Caenorhabditis elegans: one gene and its partners. The protein of the gene in region 1 interacts with the protein of each later gene in a pairwise test. Each region holds a gene or a part of one and is shown in the gene's direction. Other genes may lie near its edges.

Region 1 (7,906 bases):
GAATAAGGAGGCTAGAAGAATGATGTAAGTTTTATAAAAATTGTATTATTACTTATTGTTCCGTAGCCTATATATCCTGCAGTACCATAGTATCTTGAAATATTTCACAATCACATATACATAGTACCTGGAAGTACCGTAGCCAATATTACCCTACAGTATGTATAGTATCCTAGCCTATGGTATCAAACCGTAGCCTACCGTACTCGTAACCGGCCTCCCCTATAGAAAGGTATCTTAACCTACAGTACTTCTTAAAACCGTAATCTGTAGTGCACCCTAGCACCATACCAGGGGGGTGCGGCGAATTTGCCGAACTTGCCGCACACCCCTGTACCATACCGTAAATAAATCTAACTTAACCTACCATACCATTTACTACATTAACCCATTTTACCGCACCGTATCCATGAGTAATTTTAATGTAACATACCGTACCCTTCCCATTAACTACGGTACTATTATAGTGAGATATCACGTTCGACTGTTGTCACCCGATCTAAGGTAGATGTTTGCTGAACCCCTAACAAACTTCGGAAAAAGTGCTTTTCATTTAGGTGGGGAATATTACAAATGAATTGTGTCAGCTTTTCTCTCGTTTTTTTCCTGAGTCTCGCAGCAAAGTTGTTCAACTCGAAACTCACCAAACTAAGGAAAAAAAATAGTATTCCCACTATTCTATATTTCAGCTCGGAGCCGTCCTATGCCCCCAACAAAATGCACATGTACTGCAAGTACCCCATGGACGTGAGGGGAAGAGAATGTGGGTTCGTGGGGACCCTTGCTGACTGCATCACACACATGGGCACTCACACGTAAGTTTTTCATAAAATGCAAAAATGGAAGAGTGTTTGACGGACTAGACAACTATCTGAAGGGACAAGAAAATATTAGCCGGAAAACACAAAAATGTTGAAACTAGTGCATTCAATTGCGCGGGAATTCAAATGTGATTCAGCCATTTCTTGCAAGTTTGAGAAAAATAACGTTGATTTTGGTTCATTTTCTATACCACCATGTTACATTGTAATATTACATAATTTTAATTTCAGGAGGACTTACCTCTACCGTTGCAAGAAGTGCTGCATGGATCTCACGGATCCGAGCCAACTCTACAACCATCACAGCGTCACCAATGGAGACCTGTGCACCTCGAAGACCGCGGAAATGGAAGTACTTCCTCCGATAGGAAGAGATAAATCGGTGGATCGTCATAGGTCGCTGAACGTATTTCTTATGGTTATATCGAAGGAAGAATACCATAAGCATAGGACTTCCTCCAATTATGCCCACAACACTCGGAGGACTGGAGGAACTCCTGCTTATGATGATCTTCCGTGTTTCAATCAGATCTCGAGGAAGAAAACATCCTACAGCCACCAGGTTCCGGAAATCGATGTAGAGCTCAACAGTTCTTCCACATCAGCTCTTCCAATTAAAGAAGAGGTTACTACAAGGAGCCCTGCACCAAATATGGGTTTTTGCGAAGTACGCCAGCTCCCAAAAGACTCCAGAGGGCCTCAGAGAGATGGCTCCTCATCTCCTGATGTTCAGTTCATCAAGACTGTGACTATGTCACGGTTAGAGAATGTTGTTCCTACCAGCTCACGTGGAAAGGCGCCAGAAGATTCATCTGCACCAGCACGTCTAGGATTCCTCTCCGATCGTGCGGTCTCCGGGTCATCAATCCCAGCCGTCGAGGAAAGATCTGGAGAAGGCAGCTTCGACTTTACAGGTCCTTCCACTCCTCGCTTGGCCCAGCCAGCTTTTGGGAACTTTTTTGGGAATAGGGCGAGTTCTTCGTCTTTCGGTGCACCATTGTCAACTCTAGCTGTGGACAAGCTGATTCCGGAACCTCATCTCTCCGGAAGCAAAGCGGTCCCAGACCATCGTTTCGATTTCAAACATTTCAGACGTCTCCGAGCAGCGGGAGGAGGGCCCCTCAAGGCGATCGCCGATGTCTCCATCTAATCAACGGGGACGTGGAGCAGGACACCAGCCACGTAACAGGGAACATACACCGAAATCGCCATTGAGAAACCAGAGGGTGAGTAATTTGCAAAATGACCTAGTTTATTCCTCGATCATGCGAAAAAACCAACTAAATCTATCTGTAAATTTCACAGCGTGGTCGCCGAAGCCCCTCGACAGATGAGTGGACCCCCAGACGTTCAGAGCATCACCATCGTCGTGACTATAGAAGAAGAAAGCGGGATTATTCAAGAGATCGCTCACGCCATCACGGAGATCGTTATTAAATTCCATGTTGCATCTCAATTTCTTTTTCTTCGATTTCTCGAGTATTGAGCCTTTATTCACATTCCTTCTCGTATGTTCATAATAAATATTCTATCTACGTTAAAAGTAAAATATTCTATCTACGTAAATCTCCTTGTCTAACGCTCAATACACAACACAAAACATTCGCCTATTTCTTAGACTCGTAAAACTTCCTGATTTCCTTATGAATTTGCATGATCAACGTGCTGCTGTTTCACTATGAACATTTTCTACTCGTATGTTATCCGAACGGCTTTTATCAATTTAAAGATTAAACTCCAATATTTGAATGGAAATGAAGATGTGATGGCAATGATCTATTCATTACTTCTTCTTCTGTCTCGTTAAGAAACAAGATTTCAGCCGTTGCAAAGAATTATATTTATTAAACCCTCAATTCAAATTTCGCGCTCTTTCGAAGACGGGATATCGGAGTGTCGTTGTTTATTTTCAATTTTATTTTTTATTCGCAAAAAATCAATATTTGACTTTTTCTTCTATTTAAAACAGTTTTTGTTGAATTTTTCCTTTCATATAAATATTATTAATCTTTAAAATTTTTATGTTTATATGATTAAATCTTCCTTATTGCCATTAATTGTGTATTTTTCCAGATCCTAAAATTCGATAAACAACCAAAATGAAGAATAACGAGGATTTAGACGAAGTAGTACATTTATCGCAAGTAAAATAACTAATTTCAATTTAGTTTTCCAATTTTCATTAAGAAAATCAAAAATTTTCAGAATTCCGATGCAATTTTCGAGGAATGGGCAGCTGAGTGCACTCCCGACGCGCAAAAAGAGCACGAAGAGCTCGAGGAGATTGTCAAGATTCCAGATTCGACATACAGAAAAAAGTATGAAATTTTTGTGCTAAAAATTTATTAAATATAAAATTGAAGGAAAGGAAATCAAAAGTTGCCGACGGTGACGACGTGCGAAGTATGTGGAGTTGCGTTGAAATATCCATCGAGGATTATGGTACAGAATATTTTATTTTTATAACAAAATGAAGATTTTTATTTGTTCAGGAACACATGAGAACTCACACAGGCGAAAAACCATACGAATGTGACATTTGTGGAATGAGATTCACTCAAAGAACTCCAATGATTAACCATTTTCGTGTTCAACACATGGGTGATCTCCCATTTCTGTGTAATTTCGGTTGTGGCAAACGATTTGTGAATAATTCACGCAGAACTGCACACGAATTAAGCCATAATGGATTGGTAAGAAAAGTTTTTATGCTATAGAAAAATTTAAAACATCGAATCAAGCATTTATATCCTAAAAGATTACCGGAATAAGATATATTTTTTGCAGAAGCGAGCAGGACCGGCACGGCCTTATCTGAAACCAGTTAAAAAGATTGTTTGTCCATCAATGGATATGGATATACTTTCAAATTCTGCACTAGCTAATTATATATCACCACCAACGATGTAAGTATATGCAGAAGTGAACTAAACTTGATAAAATAAATAAAAATTACAACAAAAAACAAGAATTATAAGATTTTACATTTTTTAAAAAGTGAATTGCGGTGTTTAATCAGCAATCTTTAAAATTGAGATTTTAACACTTTTTGTTCTTTAACAAATTTTAAAACAACATTTAAAAAATCGGTGTTTTAATTAATAAAAAACTTTGATAATTTAAATAAAACTCCTGAAAATTTCTAAATTCGAAAACTTCCATCTTATTTCCGAATTGGTAAATTTAAAAGAAATTAAAATAACTTTGCAGAGACTCAATATTTCAAAGTGATCCATCAACTTCTTCCTCTTCACCTTCTCAATTTCAATCATCAAATCAAACAACAAAACAATCTATATATCCATCAGAAAAAGAAATGGAAAAAGCTGCAATATCTAATGCTCGAATTGATGACGTTATTAATACAGTATTGGCTCGAGTTTTGGCTCCGATTGATGAAGAAATTCCGATCGAAGAACCAGAAAAAGCTCCTCAGAAAAGAGCATATATTTCAAATCGAAGAGCAACACTTGCACAATGCAATATTTGTGGATTAATGCTTAAACATCCGAGCAAAATTGCTGTTAGTTTTTTTTTCGATAAAAAACGAATTTTGGTGAAAAATGAAAAATTAAAATTATTTCAGTGCCCACAAGCTGAATTTTTGCTGAAAAATTGAGAATTGGACAGAGAAACAATTTTTTCGATAAAAAGCATTCGAAACTTGATTTTCTGAGCAAACAGAAAAAAATATTTGTAATTAAAATTTTTTAAATCAAAGCTTATAGGTTTAAATGTGTTAAAAAACAAAATTTCCAATTTTCTCTCTATTTATAAACCTCTCAAGTTCTGAAATTTCTAGAAAAATATAATATGATTTATTATATCGAAAATTGTTGAATTTTCTAAACTTTGAAATCAAAAATTACAATTTTTAATAAAAAAAAGAAAGATAAATTTATTTTTAAATACAAATTTCTTTCCCATTTTTCAGGATCATATCCGAACACACACAGGCGAAAAACCATTTGAATGTGGAGAATGTGGCTTGTCATTGTCAAAAGCGAGCTCTTTAAAAGTACATATTCGTCGAATGCATACTGGAGAACGTCCATTTGAATGTACTTGGAGATGTGGATTGTCTTTTGTAACGGATTCTGTTAGAAAAGAACATGAAATGACTGTACACACTGGTAAATATTCAAAATATATTTTACTATCCGAAATTTGGGTTAAAACCGGGGGTAATTTAGAAAAAGAAAGCAATTTCCATTTTTTTTTGTTGCAAATTTTAGAATTTTCTCAAATTAAGAGTGTTATTGAAAATATGTTAACTCAAAAATATTTAAAAGAGTAGTCATCTACAAAAATTACAATTTTTGAAACATTCCAGGTATAAAACGTTACACATGCGTTGTAAAAGGATGTAATGCAGTATTTGCTCGTCGTGTATATCTCATGAGACATCGAAAAAATGCACATCCCGAGCTCTTCACACCAATTTTCGATCATGTTCAAGTGAATCACGAGGAATCACAGGATTCAGTTATTGTTTATGAAGATGATCATGAACAGAACAATCAGATTATAATGCTCACTGGTGATGGTGATGACGTCAAGATCTTGGCTCATTTTGAAGATGATGAAGAGGAATTTGTGGAGCAAGGAGGAAGCATGGAAGATCAAAAAACTGTTCATTTTTGACCAGAAACTTGAAAAAGCTCTTTCATTTTCCAATATCTAGGCAACTTATAGGGTAACTAGCATTTTCTACTTCATATATTCAGTTTTCTATTCCACCCAGCAATTAGTTTTTAAAATGGAAGAGTTATTCAAATTTCAAATTTCTAGGCCACTATTAAATTTTGCATTTTTTAACCATTTTTTTCATTCAAATTCTAGAAAAATTGTGAGAATTAATTCTCACAATTTTCAGTTTATTTTGGTTAACCTACGAGTTTCTTTTTGCTTCTTTTTTTAATAAAGATTTTTTTTCTCAGATTTTTCAAATTTTTTTTCTTTTCCGTATTCAGTATTTTTACTGTTTAATTATACTTGCTTTTTTTTTATTGTTTGCCAATATATTTTGAAACTTTCTCCTTTCGCAAAAATTGAAAAGATGAGATTTTGAAATTTTTTTTAACATTTTCAAACTTTCAGCAAGCTATTTTTGAGCAGTTCGAAAAAATGTAGCGGTACTTTTTTTTTGAGCCCAATTTTCTATAAAATGTTTTAAAAGGGTTTAGAATGTAAAAAACCAATTAATTGTTTTTTTCAAATTTCACAAAATCCAAAACAAATTTTTTTAGATATACCTTTTTTAATTTGCTAAAAACTTTCTAAAGGTCCAGGAAGGCCCATAAAAAATTAACGTCGAAAAATAAAAATCGATATTTTCAGAAATGGCAGAATCTTGTGTAAAACCTCAACTACCTCGTCCTCGAATTCCAAATATTAGAGTTTTTCAACCAACTACTCGAATTCCCACATTTACATATGAACAATTCAACGAATCCGTCGAAATTCTTCCAAGTCGTCCCGAATGTCTTTATCGTCGAAATGATCCAACAAATCGAAGTTATCGAATGAAAAAACGACCACCGGCACAAATATATCATTGTGTTCAATGCAATAAGCACATAAAATATCCATCAAAAATAACTGAACACATTCGAAAACATACTGGAGAGAAGCCAAATGTTTGTTCAATTTGCAATATAAGTTTCAGTCAAGCACATACATTAAAAACTCATATGCAGCAACATGCACATGAAAAACCATACAAATGTTCATTTTGTACGGCTGAATTCTTGAATGTTTATGAAAAGAATGAACATGAAGAGGTGAGAAATTTTAATTTTTCGGAAATTCTTTTTTTGAAAATTTAAATAACTTTCTGATACGAAATTTCATAGATTTTAACTTGATTATTTTGAAAATCACAAAAATCCTTTTACTTTTGCAATTTTTTTTTGTATTTTAGAAAATTCAGAACTATCAAAATGCCATTTTTGCATATAGTTCATAGGAATTCTAGACGAAATCTTCTAGAATATCCGACTTTTAACGTATTTTCGGATCGTATGGATCGTATGAAAAAATAAAAAATAAAGAATTTTTTGGATATTTGAAAATGTGCGCAACTTATTTTTGATTAACTGTTTTTTGAACTGAAAAGTACTTTTTTATGATATTCTACAAAAATAGAAGAATATTCTGAATATCTCTGCCACTTCTTCAATTTTATAAATATTTCAGCAACATATGCATCATCCAAATCACGGTGAAACAATGGAAGAGAACAATGCAACGACGTCACAATTTATTCAGGTCGCGGAGCCAACAATTCAAGCAGAGCCGTGCCAAATTTACGAATGTTCTGAAATGTGCGGTTTTCAGAGTTATGAAGAAGCCGAAGTTGTCGAACATATGACTGTCACACATTATCAGCAAACGGTATTGAGATTTTAATGGAAAATTACTGGAAAATACGTTCTAAATTTGGAAAAATCCCCTTCTCGAAATTTTTTTTGAATTTTCGGTGTATCAAATCGCAGAAAAAGTTTTCTAGAAACTTTTGATTTATCCAAAATATGTTGAATTCAATGAGAAAAGTAGAGCATTTTCAAATTAATTTTTTAAACCTAAAATTATTTTGAAAAGTGACCCTGAAAGATTAAAAAAAAACAAAATTTCTAAATTTTCCGATATTCAGAAAAAATCGAAAGAAATTCCGAAACTAAAAAATCCAGGATTTTCCATCAATTTCAATTATTTTCAGGTCCAAAACGGATTGATCCTTCAAGATTTCAATGGTGAGCCTGAGCCGATCTACGAGTTTTACGAGGAACAATACGTTCAACAAGTACCAACAGAAATAGAAGAAACACCGACAATAAAACAACAATCAATTCCATATGAAAATCTTCATTTTGAGCATGTTGAAGCAGCTCCAGGACCATCTGAACCACATTTACAAGTTGTAGCAGAAGGAGAAATATTATATGATGGAGAAGAAATAGTTGATATTTCAAATGGAAAAAGTCTTAAAGAGGAAATTCAAAATGGTGATGCCAATATTTATGGAATGATTCAGGATTTGTTAGTCGTTTTTTTTTTAAATTAATTATTTGAAAAATCGAAAA
Region 2 (6,871 bases), on another chromosome or scaffold:
ACCAGGAGACATCCAGACCCAGCCGGGTACGAAGATCGTCTTCAATGCACCATACGATGACAAGCACACCTACCACATCAAGGTGATCAACTCATCTGCTCGCCGTATTGGATACGGTATCAAGACCACCAATATGAAGAGACTTGGAGTTGATCCACCATGTGGAGTTCTGGACCCAAAGGAAGCTGTGCTTCTGGCAGTTTCCTGCGATGCCTTCGCCTTTGGACAGGAGGACACTAACAACGATCGTATCACTGTTGAGTGGACCAACACTCCGGATGGTGCTGCTAAGCAATTCCGTCGGGAATGGTTCCAAGGAGACGGTATGGTCCGTCGTAAGAACCTCCCAATTGAGTACAACCCATAGGATCTGTGAACTTCCAAAATTTCAATAAATTTTCATTGATAGTTCGTTTTTTGTTTTTTTACTTGAACAGATTTTCAGAGATTTTCAAACGAGATAATATTGTCATGCTCGAAAAAAGAGCTTCCTTTCCACTAGTTTGAGCATTTTCCTCTGGATTAGCTGGCTCGACACTGCAATGTTTCTTCGATCAGTTCTTTTAAAAAAACCGAACTTTAACATTTCTGCAGGTTCTGCCGAAATGATTCCAAAAGAAGCCTGGAATTTTTGGTTTCTGTTTGCATTGCAAAGTGGTTTAAATTTCTGCAGTATCTGCATACTAAAATATTGCCAAAATTCCCAATAACTCTATTAAGTGTCTCTGTAATAATATTCTTTTTTTAGATTGTTGCCGTTTTAAGGAAATAAACTAAATTGCAATTAATTTTCTTGATTCAATTACTTCCCGCACTTCGATGTAGTGTTTTGATGTATTGAATCATGAAATTACTTTATTTTCAACAAAAAAGTTGGTAAAGTGTTCCTAGAATTAAAATGGTGTAACTGGACGAGTCTCAACCCATTTTTTGATATTTGGAATAGAATGAATCTTCTTTTGATGAGCCTTGAGTTCTGGGAATTCGTCTAGAAGTGATTGACTGGCAGCAAACACAGATCCACTGTCACTGAGAAGATCTGATGTATGTTGAGCAATCAACAGATCAACCCAGGTGACAGAGTCACCGATCAAGAATCCAGATCCACTGGCTTTAAGGAAATTGGTGAAGAATTGGTAGTTTTTCTTGAAATTTGGAAGGAATGTGTCCTTGTAAAGAGCATCGGCATCTCCTTGTGCAAATCCCATTTTCACGAGATTATAAGATCGGATGTCATTGAGATAATCTTTGAATTGATCTGCAATTGCATTCACTTGAGCTTCTTCCCATGGACATCTTCCATTTATTCCAAATTGGCGAGCAAGAAAACGAGAAATTGCATGGGATTGTCCAAGTGGTTTCCCATCCTGATAAAGGACAGGAAGAGTTCCGAACGGCATAGCTGGAAATATAGAAAATTCAATACAACATTTTTAGACATAAAAAAATTAAATTAGAAAAACCTGTACACAAATATCCCGCCAGCCTCGCAATTAAAAGTGATCGTATTTGTTATTCTATTACATGGAAGATACTTTAACATATATCTCGATTTTGGAACTATACATATTTCATTTCAAAGAGCACCTTCTAAATAGGTCCCTACAAAAAAGTTAGATTTATACGGGAACTTTGAACCAAAAAAGGTAGTTCTGAGATTGCTTTCAGGTCAGTTTTTGTGAACAAAAATCAATGATTTATAATAAGACCCAGAATATTGGTGTCAGGTCTAATCAAGATTTTATCAAGTGGATCTCGCCACGCCCACAGCGGTTAGAGCGGCACAACATTTTAATCACGAATAAATAGTATTTTGAAAAAAAAAGTTTCAAAAACTCACTCGACTTGAGAGCTGGCCAATCAGCCTGTGGAATCCGGTGATCCTCAAACTTTTGCCCGGCATATGCCAGAATCTGTCGTGGAATTTCTCCAGCAAATCGAATTGGAAAATATGAAAGTTTATAGTGGACCATAGTGTGTTTGGAGTCGAATGATGAAAGACCAATTCAAACATTCTCTTTTATACTGTCTCCTTCATTCAATTTGTTTGTCATTCTCATCGTGTTTTTTTTTCGAAGTAAGGCGGCATTAAAAATGTACGAGAAAGGTTGCCAAAATGATGACAATTGCTTGGAATTGGGAGAAAATCGAGGAAACTAGAGACGCGTCTTGCCACATTTATCATCCTTGCTAATATTAAGGTGTGATTCTGTTGGTCTTACGTGATTTGAGAATGCTCTTTTTTATAGTCAGCATATTTGAGACACTAGTGTAATAATGAAGAATTGAGAACAGTTCATATCTAACAAAATGACTATTACAATGTAAACTTTAATTAATAAAAAAAATTAATTTAAATTTCCGTTCTTCACTAATTACCTGGCAATTTACGAAAAAATACGGTACCCGGTCTCGAAACGACCAACTAGATTTAAAGGAGTACTGTAGATCTCGCAATTGTCTTGGATTTGTTGTTATTTTCATAATTTACATCAAAATTGGAATTCAGAGCTGAAGACATGAAGAGTACGTACAGTTTTGCTTACCGAACAAAAAATATACGATTATTTTTAATACTTTTTGGTCCAATTTACTCGTCTAGTGGCCCTTCCCACAAAGTCGACTCCAACGCTGCGTCTCCGTTCTCTCGCTTGCATCCAATGGAGCGCACTTACATTAAATTTTATTTATTGAATTTTTATCGGTTTTGCCATGTATTTTTTAGTTTTAATTCCTCTAACTTTCTACAATTTAGTAAACTTTTTTGTTTTTAGATGGCTGCAATTATAGGTGGAGGACCACGAAAACCGCCAAGAATCATACGAAAAAATGTAGCGCTTAAACATACGCGGAAAGGTATAAAAATATTGTTTTTAGTCGCAGAAGTCATAATTCAAATCATTATAGATGTTCGAGACGACGAAGGTGAAAAAGTTAAACGAGAAGGATATGAAGTACAATCAGGAGTATTGACTGTAAATGAGGTAGATTTGTTATTTAATTTAAGTATTAAATTATTGTAGGAAAAATTATTAATATTCAGAATCACCCATCCAACTTCAAACCGAAGAAATTGCCAGGAATCGCTAACGATGTCGAATCTTATCCATGCCGATTTTGTGAGGAGAAAATTTTTTTGACTGCATCAGGACTTGAAAAGCATGGAAGAGAGTGTCACCTGCAGAATTTAGACGATATCATGCTAGATATTAATACAATTTGTGGAGAATGGAAGAAAAGAGAGGTATTTTAAATTTAGAAAATTGTAACTTTTTTTAAAACAAAATAAAGATTTCAGTTCGAACGGCTCCGATCTCGCGATCGACTAACAATGGATAAAATGAGACACGAAGCAAGAGCACATCAACTTGTAAAAGCTGTTCTTGCTGGAAGTAAGTAAAATTAGAAAAAAATAAATAAATATATAATAAAATGTACATTTTAAGATCAGCCGACTGTAGGAGGAGAACAATATGAAGCTTGTACAATCTGTAATATGCTCGTCAACATAGCACATCCAACAGCCATGGAATCTCATCAAAGAGCACACAAAAAGAATGACGAGCTTCGATTACAGCTTATTGATCGATTAGGAGCTCACGAGGTTCAGAATCTGACGTGTGAATTATGCTCATTAGTATTTCCTGATGATGGGAAGCTAAGAGCCCACGTTACATCGCATCACACCCGACGAAAAAAATATATTTGCAAGTTCTGCGGTCATATCTCTCACAGTATGTCAGAGTTGAATCTCCATAAAAACGATGTTCATAATTATGTAAGTTAGATTTAAATTCAACATTTTCGATTAATTTTTTCATTTTCAGACAGCATGGGCAAATGTACCAGAATACCTGAAATCACGTCGAACATTTTACCAATATGATGAAGAACAAAAACGATTGCGGCGACGAACAAATTTTGAAATGGCTGATGAAATGTCAATTCGACTGCCAATTCTTGGAGAGATTTCTGATGGAGACACTGCCGGACGAGTTACATGTCCAGAATGCGGACTAAAGTTGAATCGACCTCGTCTTTTGTTCAAGCACATGGAACGAGTTCATATGAAATCTTCGTTTTCTTGTATGGTTGAGACAGGAGGTCTCCCTACCTTTGAGTAATTATTTGTTTTAAACAAGAAAAATATCTAGAAAAAATATTTTTGCAGATTAGAAGTATCAAATGGTGAGATCTTTTGGACGTGCTGTGATTCTAAATTCGACAATCGTCCGGAGTTCATCGAACATCGACGTCTTCATATTCCAACTCAACATGAAGAAGTCGTTGTTGAAAGCTCCGAAGATCCGAATGATATTCCATCTACATCCCAAGCAATGATTCCAGATGAGGATGCAAATGAAGCAGCAGAACAACACAACTTCCCACAAATGATTCATGATGAGCATGGAAATATTCAAGTTCTCTTACCAGAAGGATATGATCTCAGAGAAACTTATTATATTTACGATGAGAATGGAACGAAAATTCAATTGGTCCCATTACAACAACCAGATGGAACTATCGATCATCATCACCTCGTTCCTCAATTTGAAATAAATCATGAAGGCGAGGAGCAGATAATTGAAGAGGGCGATGAGATGATGGCATTGGAAAATGCTGAAATTGAAGGAGAAGTTGCTGAAAATGAATATGATCAGTTTCAAATGGATCTAGGAAATGACTGGGATAATATGGGTAATGTGGTGAGTGGAATTTTGAAAATTGTTTTTTATAAAATTCGTAAATTTCAGCAAATGATCTTAGTGAACGAAGATGATACTCTAGAAGAAGAACATGTCGAAGATGTGGATCATCAAATAATCGAAAATGTCGAAGGCGATGAAGGGGTGATTGAAATCAACGGGCAACCACTTTTTGATTAGTCTTAAATATAAATAATTTTTTTTTCGAATAAAAATAAATTAAATTCAGTTTTTCACGTACATCCAACAATAATAAGTCAGGAAAAACCAAATATTTCAATTATTTCACAATTTAATCAAATCGAAATGTCGCGAGCAATCACACCAGCAGTTCCGAGGAGAAGTTTTCGAAAAGAAGCGATTGTGACAGTTGCTGCTGTTGGAATTGCGATTGTTGTTTGGAATTTCAGAGATAAAATTGTAAGAATACTAGGAGGATTTAACATCGAATTTCCGTTTTGTTTCAGTCTGATTTTTGGAATTATTTGGCTTTTTCGCGTCCCACAAACTCGGCTCCAACTTCGGAACGCGAGAAAATCGATCCATCCAAGACTGCTCCTGAATCATGGGATGCTCAAAAGTCTGCTGACATTGCTCCCGAGTCTGTAAAGGTTCCAGCGTCAGATGAGAAGCATGAACAGCCAACTGAGCAACAACCAAAGGAGATTGTCGGAAACCTTGCACCGGAATCCACCGAAAAGAATGCACCCAGCTCATCCGTCTATGTTGGTCTTCCGAAAGCGGATCCAGCTACCGTATCCGCATCGATTCCACCATCCCAATGGCCTGGAGCAACAATGCCTCAATGAATGAACCTTCTTTTCTTTTTGCAACAATAAATACATTTTTAGTCACCGTTCAAATTTATGAAAAAAAGCTATACACTGGGAGAACAATGATCACAACCAAGGCTTTCGCTGGAAATTGAGCGATAATAAGATAGAATTCGACAATAAAATATCCCGTGGGTAATGTGTAGATTCGTGTGAAATGGCATAATACAAAGCTGCTCATCAATTGAAGAAATGGCAATAAGGGTAGGGCTTAACTAATAATAGATTCTATTAAACTAATATAACACAGCACCTATAAAAATTATGGCTAAAAAATCAGATAAAATCTCAAAAACATTTAATCTAATATTAGTCGATATTCTTTGCTCCTCCGTCGACCCATGGTCTCAAAACCTCCCATCTCTCCGCGACGGGGCGTCCAAAAAATTCCATTTGAGTCGTGGAATATCGTCGCGTTGGATTTCCAAAATCACGGAATCCAGAGTCCTTCCAATTGTAATTGAATTTCTCCAGTGCTGTGCGAACATCTTCAGAAGCCGTCAGAATCGGACGGGGTTCCTTTTCGCAGAATTCCGGAATTTTGACATTGGGGAAGATGAGAACCGATCGAAATGCGAAGTGTCCACCGTAGATTGGATGTAGACTGAGGCCGATGAATTTCTGTAAAATGTTTATAGATTTATTAAATTTATTTAATAAAAAAGGGTTTTTAATATTATTTTGTTTTTAGAATAGATGGAATATTCTTAATGTTGCCAGTTTTTGTTATTGTAGATTCGCAAAAAATTGCCAGGTCAGTTTAAAGGCACATCATGTATTTTCGAGTGGGTCTCGCCACGAACTCAGTTCAAGTGGCCGCTACAGGTGCCAAATTTTCGCAAATATGTTTGTTAGATGTAGAAAATTACTTATATAATTTTAAAATTTTAAAATTGCATATAGAAAGCTATTATTTATGATTAAAAATTTCGAAGTGGAGGAAATTTTCAATTTTCTATAGATTTTCTAGACAGCTCGGAAAATTTGATAAATTGTGGGAAGTTGGGTCTGACTAGATTAATTAGTTCGGTCAAGTTAGGCAATCCTGGAGGAAAATTTCTTAAATTGTATAAGATTTTTGAAATCATAAAAAGCATTCAATTTGTGAGAAGTTTTACGGATTTCAAAAATAATTGTATTTATTTATTAACTTTTTGAACTAATATTAGAGATGTGACAAAATATCCATTATGACCTTTACGTGAGGATATTAATGTGAAGATCTGGGACAAAGATAAGAGAGAAATTTGCTATAAATTGAGCAGAGTTTACCATAATCTTCACTGTAAGTTTCCACACTCTACAAAGAAGTCGCCAGTGCCCAATCCGTCC
Region 3 (9,582 bases), on another chromosome or scaffold:
TGTTGGGAGAAATACTGTAAGGCTACTGTAGGGGTAATAAAGGGATACTATAGGTGTAATGTACATAGGTATATTATAGTATTACTGTAGACCGGTTGTAAGGATACTGTAGGATAACTGTAGGCGAGTTGTAGGGGTACTGTAGTGGTAGTGCATGATTACTGTGGGGTACTGTGAGGGTACTGTAGGGTTGATGTAGGGATACTGTAGACATACTGTAGGGTGGCTTTAGGGGTACTGTAGGGGTACCGTAGGATTACTGTAGGCGTCCTCTAAGGTTACTCTAGGTATTTCTCTCAATTCCACAACTTCCAGACACTGTGCCTTCATAATGCAAACCTCATCGGAAAGCTTCATGTGCTACGTCTTCCACGTCGAACCGAACGCAGCCGCCATGGCAAAAATGGTCGAGGCTGCTTGTAAGCTTCGATACCAAAAAGTGCTCGACGCCCACTCATCATCCCGTCATCACTCGGGAATGTCGATTCATGGACAACATCCACCATCCACCTACCACGGCAAGGTTTTTGAAACTTCTTCACTTTCCCTTGCTTTAACAAATATAATCGCTTGAAAATTATTTGAAGAGTCACTTTTTTTTGGTGACAGACAAATAATAAACTAACATGTTTCCCATGGAATTTAACATTTTTAATTTTAGATTTTCAGATTCTAGGCCGTCAAATTAGACTTAGGCTTTAAATTGTTTGTAGGGGGTACTGTATTGTAAGGGTTCTGTAAGGGCCTTTTATAGGGTACTGTAGGTTACTGTTAGGGTACTGTAGGACTGTACGGTTACTATAGGGGTACTGTAAGGGTACTGTAGGGTTGCTATAGCGGGCTGTAGGGGTACTGAAGGGGTACTGTAGGAATACTTTAGGGCACTGTAGAAGTGCTTTAGGGGTACTGTAGAGCTGTTGTATGGGCACTGTAGGGATTCTGTAAGGGCCTGTAATGGGGGGGGGGTACTGTAGGGTACTGTAGTAGTACTCTAGAGTACTGTAGGTTACTGTAGGAGTATTGTAGGGATAGTGTAGGAATTCTGTAGATGTACTACAGGAATACTGTAGGACTACAGTAGATCTTATGTAAAGTTAATATGGAAGTACTGTAGGTGCACTACAAGGGTACTGTAGGGATACTATAGGGATACTGTAGGGAACTGTATGGGTACTGTAGGGGTACTGTAGTTTACTGTAGGATATTGAACAAAATTTTAAATTCGAAAAAAAAATTTTTTTTGATCGATGCACCATAACTTTTGTTGTGAGCCGAAATTAATGTGCACATACTACCAAAAAATCCAATTAACTCTTAATAATCTGCTGAAAGCCTTAAAATCCTTAAAACCTAACTTGAAATAATTACAGGGATGGACTGAAACATTTCGCGACGCTTTTGGTTCGGTGACGTCACGTATGGTACCTTCTAGGTCGGCACAACGACTTTGAATTCTTCATTTTTCTTCGGTTCTTTAATTTTCTGTATTTTTGATGGATTTTTCTCATATTTTTTTCTCTCATACTCTGTTCTGCTCATCCCAAATATGCTTTCAAACCAAAAGTTTACCCCGGCCCCTCACTTGGCAATATTCTTCAATCCACCGATACATTTTTACTTGTACAATCCCTCTTTCTGTGTAGCTTTTTCAACATCTGTGACAATTTTTTTTTGTTTTGTAGAATTTGATTTCTTTGAAAAAAGGTTTTTCTGATAAAAATGGAGTTTTATAACAAGTTTGGTGGAATGAACATGGTGCATCGATAGGTCGCGAAAATTGTTTGGCAGGAAGCTAGGCAGGCAGGCAGGCAGGTAAGTGAGCAGGTAGGCAGGCGGATAGCCATGTAGGTATGTAGGTACACCAATAGGTATGTAGGTAGGTAACCAGGCTGGTATGCAGGCATGCAGATAGGAAGGCCGATAGGTATGTAGGTAGGTAGCCAAATTGGTAGACAGGCATGAAGGCAGAAGACAGGTATTCAGTTAGGTAGGTAGGCCGGTAGGTATGTAGATAGGCAGCCAGGCTGGTAGGCAGGCATACAGGCAGATAGGTGTTTAGGTGGGCAGGAACGCCTATAGGCATTTAGGTAGGTAGGATGGCCGATAGGTATGTAGGTAGGTAACCAAGCTGGTACACAGGCATGCAGGCAGATAGGTATTAAGGTAGGCAGGTAGGCCGATAGGTATGTAGGTAGGTAACCAGGCTGGCAGGCAGGGGTCATACTGATAGGTAGGTAGGAACGCCGATATGTATGTAGGCATGCAGGCAGATAGGCATTTAGGTAGGTAGGTAGACAGGCTGGTAAGCAAACTAATAGTTGTTCAGTGAGATATTTAAAGTTTTCAATAGAAAATTTTAAAAAAATTAATTTGAATTTCTTTTTGCAAATTTTTTTTCTAAATTTTTTTCATAATTTTTTGCCTGTTTTTGCCCTTTTTTGCCCCAGCCAATTTCAGCTTCAAAATAGCAAATTCTTTCCGATTTTCCATAGAAAATCTATTCGATCAGAGTGTCGGTTGCTCAAAAATTCAATAAATAATTAATGCGCCCCGACTTATGATGAAGTAAGCTTCTTCTAACCTTGTGATTTTGGGAAAGGTGGGGGACTATTCTCATATTTCAACTAGTACTACTACTACCATCTGACACCGAATACCTTTCCAATTAGTGATTCTCAGGTGGTATAAATTGGCGAGCTGCAATACGGAGATATGCCTTTTATTTTTCGGTTTCCGGTGATTTTGCTAATTTTTCGATGGGTAAGTGAGAATTTTCTCGGTTTTTGTAATTATTCTGCAAAATTTGAATAAAAATTGGCCGCGCTACGTAGGCCAATAGTTCGTTGGGGCGCGTTTGCAGCAGTTCTTCGAATTTTTTAGTTTTTTACGAAAAACTCGTTAACTACAGTTTGAATTTGTTTCTTTCACAAAAACATTAATGGAATTTCCGCAAGCGGCAAACGATTTTTTCCGGCAAACCGGCAAATCGGCAAATTGCCGGAATTGAAAATTAATGGCAAATCGGCAAATTGCCGGAAATTAAAATTTCCGGCAAATCGGCAAACCGGCAAATTGATTTGCCGAATTTGCCGGAAAAATGGCAAATCGACAAATTGCCGGAATTGAAAATTTCCAGCAAATCGGAAAATTGCCGGAAAAACGGCAATTGCCAAAAATTTTCCGAAAATGTGAGGTCACACGAATTTCACAGCGCGCGCTCAAATTGGCGCAATTTCTGTAGATCAAATATCGTTTTCAGGCCGAAAAGACACGGCAGCCGTGAACTGTGAGATTTGTGGAGACAAGTCTTACGGTAGACACTATGGAGTATGGGCATGTGATGGATGCAGTTGCTTTTTCAAGAGAAGTGTACGCAAGAATATTATCTATACTTGTATTGGTTAGCTTTCAGGCCGGAAATTTATATTATCTGAAATTATATTTCAGCGGGAAATTGGAAGTGCGTCGTGGATAAAGGCCGAAGGAATTGGTGCCCGGCGTGTCGGCTTGCAAAATGCACAAGGTTGAAGATGAATAGACTCGGTGAGTAATAGGCTCAGGCCTAGGTGTAGGCCTAGGTGTGGGCCCAGGCATAGGCTTAGGATTAGACATGGGCCTAGGCTTAGACTTGGGCTTAGTCTTAGGCTTAGTCTTAGACTGAGGCCTAGGCTTAGGCTTAGGTGTAGGCCTAGGAGTAGGATTAGACTTTGAATCAGGAATAGTACTAGGCTTATTCGTGGGCTTAGGCTTAGGCTCAGTCTCTGGCTTAGGTTTAGGACTTGGCTTGGGCATAAGGTTATGCTTAGGCTCAGGCTTATGATTAGGCTTTGAATTAGTCTTAGGCGTAGGATTAGGCTTCGGCTCAGTCTTTGGCTCAAGCGTAGGATTAGGCTTTGGCTCAAGTCTCTCTTCTCTCTCTCTCTCCCTTTCCTAGAGTTTCAAACATTTCCGAGTCAAAAATAATATCAAGTTGCGACCCGATTTATGAATTCACAAAAATAACTTGAAATAGTCTAATATGTACACGATGAAAATTTAAATATACTAATAAAAAATATGGCGAAATTATTTGACATGAAAATTATCTTCTTATCCATCACTCCAGCGTGATTGTATCGTCGTGGCAGCTGCGTGCCTCCTCCTGGAACAGCTCCAGAGTTTCCGAGAAGCCGTCCTCCTCGTACTCCTCCGGCTCTGGCACAGACAGCTTCCGCGATCTTCTCGGCACCACGAACGTCCTCTGAAGGATCCTTGAGAGTTCCGGCTCCACGAGCTCAGCACCAGTGTCCTCAGAATCTCCGAGAGTTCCAGAGCTTCCGGAAGCGTTGTCGTCGGGAACTGTGAGCTCCATCTGAGAATGGTCATCTTCTGCTGGAGCGAGCATCTTCATAGTCCGGTCGAGCTCCTCCTCGGTGATTTGTGCTCCGGCTCCTTCTGGCTTTGCAGCTTCCTTGGCGAGAGCAGCAGCTCGGCGACACAACGCCATCATCGAATGACTGGCCAACTTCGGTGGGAATCGCATTTTCATCACTTGCTGACAGTCGGCTTCGCTTTGCAACGTCTCCAGAAGTTTGTCAAAGAGATTCCAGAATTTGTACGTCTCGGCGAGCTGGAGACGAAGCGAGAAATCCATTGACTCATCGAGTGAGAGCCAATTTTCGCAGCGAGCCATCACAAAATCCACGCCAAACCGTGCAGAAACCGTCAGAAGCGACTCCACATTCTGTGCTGTGATTTGATCCGTGTTGTGGTACATGAATTCGAGGAATTTGAGGAAATCCTCGGAAGAGACGTCCTGAATTGTGATCTCTGGATCTCCCGGGGTGGCGAACAGAGACTGGAAGACCCGCGAATGTGTGGCGAGATACTGAAAATAGTGAATTATTACACAAAAATTTTAGTAGTTTTCACAAACCTGCTTCCCCACGTGGAACTTCCGCTCCTCCACCACCACGATTGCGTCGAACACGAGCTCCTTTGGCATCGAGAAGTCCATTCCAGCCATTGTCTCGTTAGAACTGCTGGCGGTGCTGAAAAATCGAGTTTTACTTTGAAAATCCAAGAAAAATAGGCAGAAAATCGGCAAAAAATGAAGAAAAATCGAGTTTTACATTGAAAAAAAATGGCCAAAAATCGGAGAAAAATGGGCAAAAAACGGAGAGAATTGATGACAAATCAAAGAAAATGGAAAAAAAGAAGAAAATTCTGGAAGTGCAATGAAGCGCAATTCCCGCCGGTGTTTGCGTATTCTGCGCAATTTTCGTTTGACCTACGTAGGTCAAATCGAAAAGGGGCACTCTGACACCACCGGAAAACCCGATAAATTTCGGGAAACCGATAAATTTTTAGAAAAATCGAAAAATTACTGGAAAACCAATTGATTTCCAGAAAAATCAATAAATTTGCAAAAAAAAAATTGAGAAAATCGGAGAATTTTTTTTCCGTAAATTTATCGATTTTTTGGTTAATGTATACACTCAAAATAATAAAACTGCGTGGCGTGTACTGCAGAAAACCTCATATTTAGGCCCCGCCTTTTTCTCGTCCACTCACGGAGAAAAGGCAAAAATTTGGGGACCAACCAATATCAGGCCGCCGACATCCTACGGGTTCCGCGCGCCGCTATGTTTAACTCGCTGTGGGCGTGGTGCTGTCTCCGCCCGCTGCGAGTTAAACAAAGTTTTCACAAACCTGCTTCCCCACGTGGAACTTCCGCTCCTCCACCACCACGATTGCGTCGAACACGAGCTCCTTTGGCATCGAGAAGTCCATTCCAGCCATTGTCTCGTTAGAACTGCTGGCGGTGCTGAAAAATCGAGTTTTACTTTGAAAATCCAAGAAAAATAGGCAGAAAATCGGCAAAAAATGAAGAAAAATCGAGTTTTACATTGAAAAAAAATGGCCAAAAATCGGAGAAAAATGGGCAAAAAACGGAGAGAATTGATGACAAATCAAAGAAAATGGAAAAAAAGAAGAAAATTCTGGAAGTGCAATGAAGCGCAATTCCCGCCGGTGTTTGCGTATTCTGCGCAATTTTCGTTTGACCTACGTAGGTCAAATCGACGCCCGCTGCGAGTTAAACAAAGCGGCGCGCGGAACCCGTAGGATGTCGGCGGCCTGATATTGGTTGGTCCCCAAATTTTTGCCTTTTCTCCGTGAGTGGACGAGAAAAAGGCGGGGCCTAAATATGAGGTTTTCTGCAGTACACGCCACGCAGTTTTATTATTTTGAGTGTACGAAGCTGTAATGAAAAGAACCTTACATATATCTACAGAATTGAGACTCTTCGCACCAACGCCCCTGGGTAATATTAATTTAAAAATTGAACAGAATGTGTTGTCAATTTACGTTTTTAAATAGTGTTTTCTTTTTGCTTAACTGATATATCAAGTTCAATTCAGCTGTCCAAACTGAACGAGGACCTCGGAGGCTTCGATGCCTGCAGCTGAAACATACCAATAACCCCATCTCTTTCAAATGTAAGTCTATACTCGGGTAATTCATCAAAACTTATACACCAACTTAGCCTTGCATAGCCTTCTTTCTTCTAAGTTTGACTATTACAAAATTCTGAGAATGCGTATTGTGCAACATATTTGACGCGCAAAATATCTCATAGCGAAAACTACAGTAACTCTTTAAATGACTACTGTAAAGCTTGTGTCGATTTACGAAAATCATTTTTGATCGATAAAATATTAAAAATTAATAGTAAGCAAAAAAATGAACAAAATAATACGAAAAATCGAAGAAAAATGGAATATCGCTGTCACTTTTGGAAAATAAATTCATTTCGAAAGTAATTAAAAGAGATACTGTAGTTTTCGCTACGAGATATTTTGCGCGTCAAATATGTTGTGCAATACGCATTCTCTGAATTTAGTGTTCACGTAATACTTTGGACAACTTTATCCAACTTTTTTCAATCAAATTTAGCAACTTCTACGCTTGGCATTTCTAAAATTGCTAAAGTTGGTGGATAAGTTGTAGATTTCTTCTCTTATTCTCAGGTTTTTTTTTCCATTTCCAGATGACTCGATATTCTCGAAATCCGTAATCCTTACATCAAAATGCTTATTGCTAAACTTCATGTCCCAACAGGAACGTCGAGAAGTTGTTGAAGAAAACTGCCAAATCATATTTGCCCTATTGATATTGGCCAGTGGAGATGAGGCAGTACTAAGCAGGTTTCCAGTAAGTTTTTGGGTCTCACAGCGAATATTACCGTAACCCATTTAAGCCGCCAAAACCTATCCCGCAAAAAGTGCATTGTGACCCAGAACAACTACGGCTGACTATCTGCATACTTCTCTCCCAATCCAGTAAGTTTCAGATCCCCTTTTATTTATGCTAGATCTAGCTAGATATTAATTTTCCAGCCAGTCCCCTTCTGAAATTCGCTGCACCTTTGGAAAACTTTTATAAATGTTGTCTATGGCGGTACTCCTTCACAAATGACTCTATCGAGACAGCTACACAACTAATCAATACAGTTACGTGGCTCTATGAAAACGGACCATGGGAGATGTCAAGTTTGCTCCGAAGCTCCATGAGCAGTCTTATTACTGAAGTCTTTGAATCAGATAATGTTGAATTGTTTTGATTTTCAATTGATGGATGAATAAATGTTTTAATGAATTTACCGGTTTGCAATTTGCCGATTTGCCGGAAAACTTAATTCCGGCAATTTACCGGTTTGCCGGAAATTTTCAATTTCTGCAATTTGCCAATTTGCCGGAAATTTTCATTTCCGGCAATTTGCCGATGTGCCGGTTTGCCGGAAATTTTCAGTTCCGGCAATTTGCCGGTTTGCCGATTTGTCTGAAATTTTCAATTCAGACAAGTTGTCGGTTGGAATGTTTGTCGGAAATTTTCAATTCCGGCAATTTGCCGATTTGCCGGAAATTTAAAGTTCGGCAATTTGCCGGTTTGCCGATTTGCGAGAAATCTTAATTCCGGCAATTTGTCGATTTGCCGGAAATTTTCAATTCCGGCAATTTGCCGGTTTGCCGATTTGTCTGAAATTTTCAATTTCAGCAATTTACCGGTTTGCCGGAAGTTTTCAATTCCGGCAATTTGCAGGTTGGCCGATTTGCCGGAAATTTTCGATTCATGGCAATTTGCCGATTTGCCGGAAATTTTCATTTTCGGCAATTTGCCGGTTTGCCGATTTGCCGGAAATTTTCAATTTCGGAAATTTGCCGATTTGTCGGAAATTTCAAATTTGGGCAATTTGCGGGTTTGCCAGAAATTTTCAATTCCAGCAATTTGCCGATTTGTTGGAATTTTCAAATTTGGGAAATTTGCGGGTTTGCCGGGAATTTTCGATTCCGGCACTTTGCCGGTTTGTCCATTTGCCGGAAATTTCAAATTCCAGCAATTTGCCGGTTTGCCGAATATTTTAAATTCCGGCAACTTGCTGTAATTTTCACTACAAACATCAAAATTATAGACTAAAACCAGTATTTATTGGTTACATGATACATATAAATTTCAATGAAAAGGTCGCCTAAATCAAAATGAAAAAACATGAAAATCATAGAGGTATCGTGTATCATTTAGTCTAATCGGCATTTGACTATAAGCCTGCTGACAGATATCCAATTCGACAATCGTGTAGCGTGGCCATTTGAAAGTGTAGTCCTTGGGTGTTTTGATCCGTTGTGACCACATTTGTGATCCTTTACGGATTTCATTCAGGAGACTATCGAATTTGTAGCATCCACCGAGCACCACTTTGTATCTGGAAATATGGAATTTTAAGTAAAAATTATTGATTTTTTCTCAATTTTTCGATGTTTTCAGAGAAAATTGAATTTTTTTTTACTTTAATTTTTTTTTAAAAATAGGGAGATACTTCGAATTTGAAAAAAAAAATTTGGAAACTTTTTCCAGGTTTCTATAATTTTTAATCATTTCTCATGTTTTTTGAAAATTTTTTTAAAAACTCGAATATATCTTTAAAAAATACGGAAAATCGAAATATTTCAAAACTTCTCTGAAAAAAGCCAAAAAAAAACGTTAAAAATGCAAAAATACCAAAAAATTGAAAAAAAAAACAATTTTTTTTTCTTTTTAAAAGTTTCAGTGAACAAAAACCAAAGATTTGGGTTTTTCAGAGAAAAAATAGGAAAATATTCAAAAATTTGAAATATTATCCAAAAAATCAAAAAATCGGTCAAATTGATTTTTTTTTTTTTAAATTTTTTCGTAAAGCTTTAAATTTTGTTTGATTTTTGAGTTTTTCCCGAAAATTATTTTTTAAAAAATTCTGTTAAATTACAAATTTTTTCCAATTTTTTTCTAAAAACACCGAAAAATCGATAATTTATGAATTTTCTCTGCAATAAACTGTAGAAATCGGAAAATTCAAATATTTTTGATTTTTTCTGAAAAAAAAACACCGAAACAAACGGAAATTTGAATTTTTTTTTTCCCGAATTTCTCTGAAAAAACACTGCAAAAATACCAAAAAGTTGTAAAATTTAAAATTCTCGTCGTTTTTCGATTTTTTTTTCGACCGACTCGAAATTTTTTGAATTTTTTTTTTCAAATTTCCAAACAATTTTTATTTCAATTTTT

Evidence for each region. Proteins that work in one complex are often made in the same cells at the same time.
Region 2: the proteins of let-391 (region 1) and ZK546.5 interact in a two-hybrid assay, tested with the Caenorhabditis elegans proteins (one large-scale study listed by BioGRID).
Region 3: the proteins of let-391 (region 1) and nhr-239 interact in a two-hybrid assay, tested with the Caenorhabditis elegans proteins (one large-scale study listed by BioGRID).

What each region holds. Positions count from the first base shown.
Region 1 is NC_003279.8:6,035,511-6,043,416, forward strand, and holds let-391 (C2H2-type domain-containing protein), read left to right. Parts: upstream 1-2,892; 5' UTR 2,893-2,920; coding exon 2,921-2,947; intron 2,948-3,026; coding exon 3,027-3,139; intron 3,140-3,184; coding exon 3,185-3,263; intron 3,264-3,313; coding exon 3,314-3,514; intron 3,515-3,608; coding exon 3,609-3,727; intron 3,728-4,031; coding exon 4,032-4,344; intron 4,345-4,755; coding exon 4,756-4,954; intron 4,955-5,154; coding exon 5,155-5,465; 3' UTR 5,466-5,757; downstream 5,758-7,906. Other genes in the region: C27A12.4 (C2H2-type domain-containing protein), read left to right, coding at 1-24, 690-815, 1,053-1,971; szy-5 (C2H2-type domain-containing protein), read left to right, coding at 6,164-6,604, 7,020-7,217, 7,543-7,862.
Region 2 is NC_003280.10:4,933,044-4,939,914, forward strand, and holds ZK546.5 (C2H2-type domain-containing protein), read left to right. Parts: upstream 1-2,774; coding exon 2,775-2,856; intron 2,857-2,907; coding exon 2,908-2,984; intron 2,985-3,043; coding exon 3,044-3,244; intron 3,245-3,298; coding exon 3,299-3,392; intron 3,393-3,446; coding exon 3,447-3,778; intron 3,779-3,827; coding exon 3,828-4,120; intron 4,121-4,171; coding exon 4,172-4,706; intron 4,707-4,754; coding exon 4,755-4,886; 3' UTR 4,887-4,931; downstream 4,932-6,871. Other genes in the region: msp-152 (Major sperm protein 152), read left to right, coding at 1-367; gst-30 (glutathione transferase), read right to left, coding at 894-1,402, 1,841-1,973; ZK546.4 (Energy transducer TonB), read left to right, coding at 5,013-5,126, 5,174-5,515; cblc-1 (MMACHC-like protein), read right to left, coding at 5,849-6,160.
Region 3 is NC_003281.10:2,558,954-2,568,535, forward strand, and holds nhr-239 (Nuclear receptor domain-containing protein), read left to right. Parts: upstream 1-2,756; coding exon 2,757-2,760; intron 2,761-3,259; coding exon 3,260-3,400; intron 3,401-3,447; coding exon 3,448-3,543; intron 3,544-3,965; exon of another isoform or gene 3,966-4,096; coding exon of another isoform or gene 4,097-4,867; intron 4,868-4,915; coding exon of another isoform or gene 4,916-5,005; exon of another isoform or gene 5,006-5,030; intron 5,031-6,401; coding exon 6,402-6,479; intron 6,480-7,030; coding exon 7,031-7,194; intron 7,195-7,240; coding exon 7,241-7,322; intron 7,323-7,379; coding exon 7,380-7,603; 3' UTR 7,604-7,642; downstream 7,643-9,582. Other genes in the region: feh-1 (Protein Fe65 homolog), read left to right, coding at 316-523, 1,371-1,451; Y54F10AM.11 (BTB domain-containing protein), read right to left, coding at 4,097-4,867, 4,916-5,005; Y54F10AR.2 (Mitochondrial genome maintenance exonuclease 1), read right to left, coding at 8,515-8,743.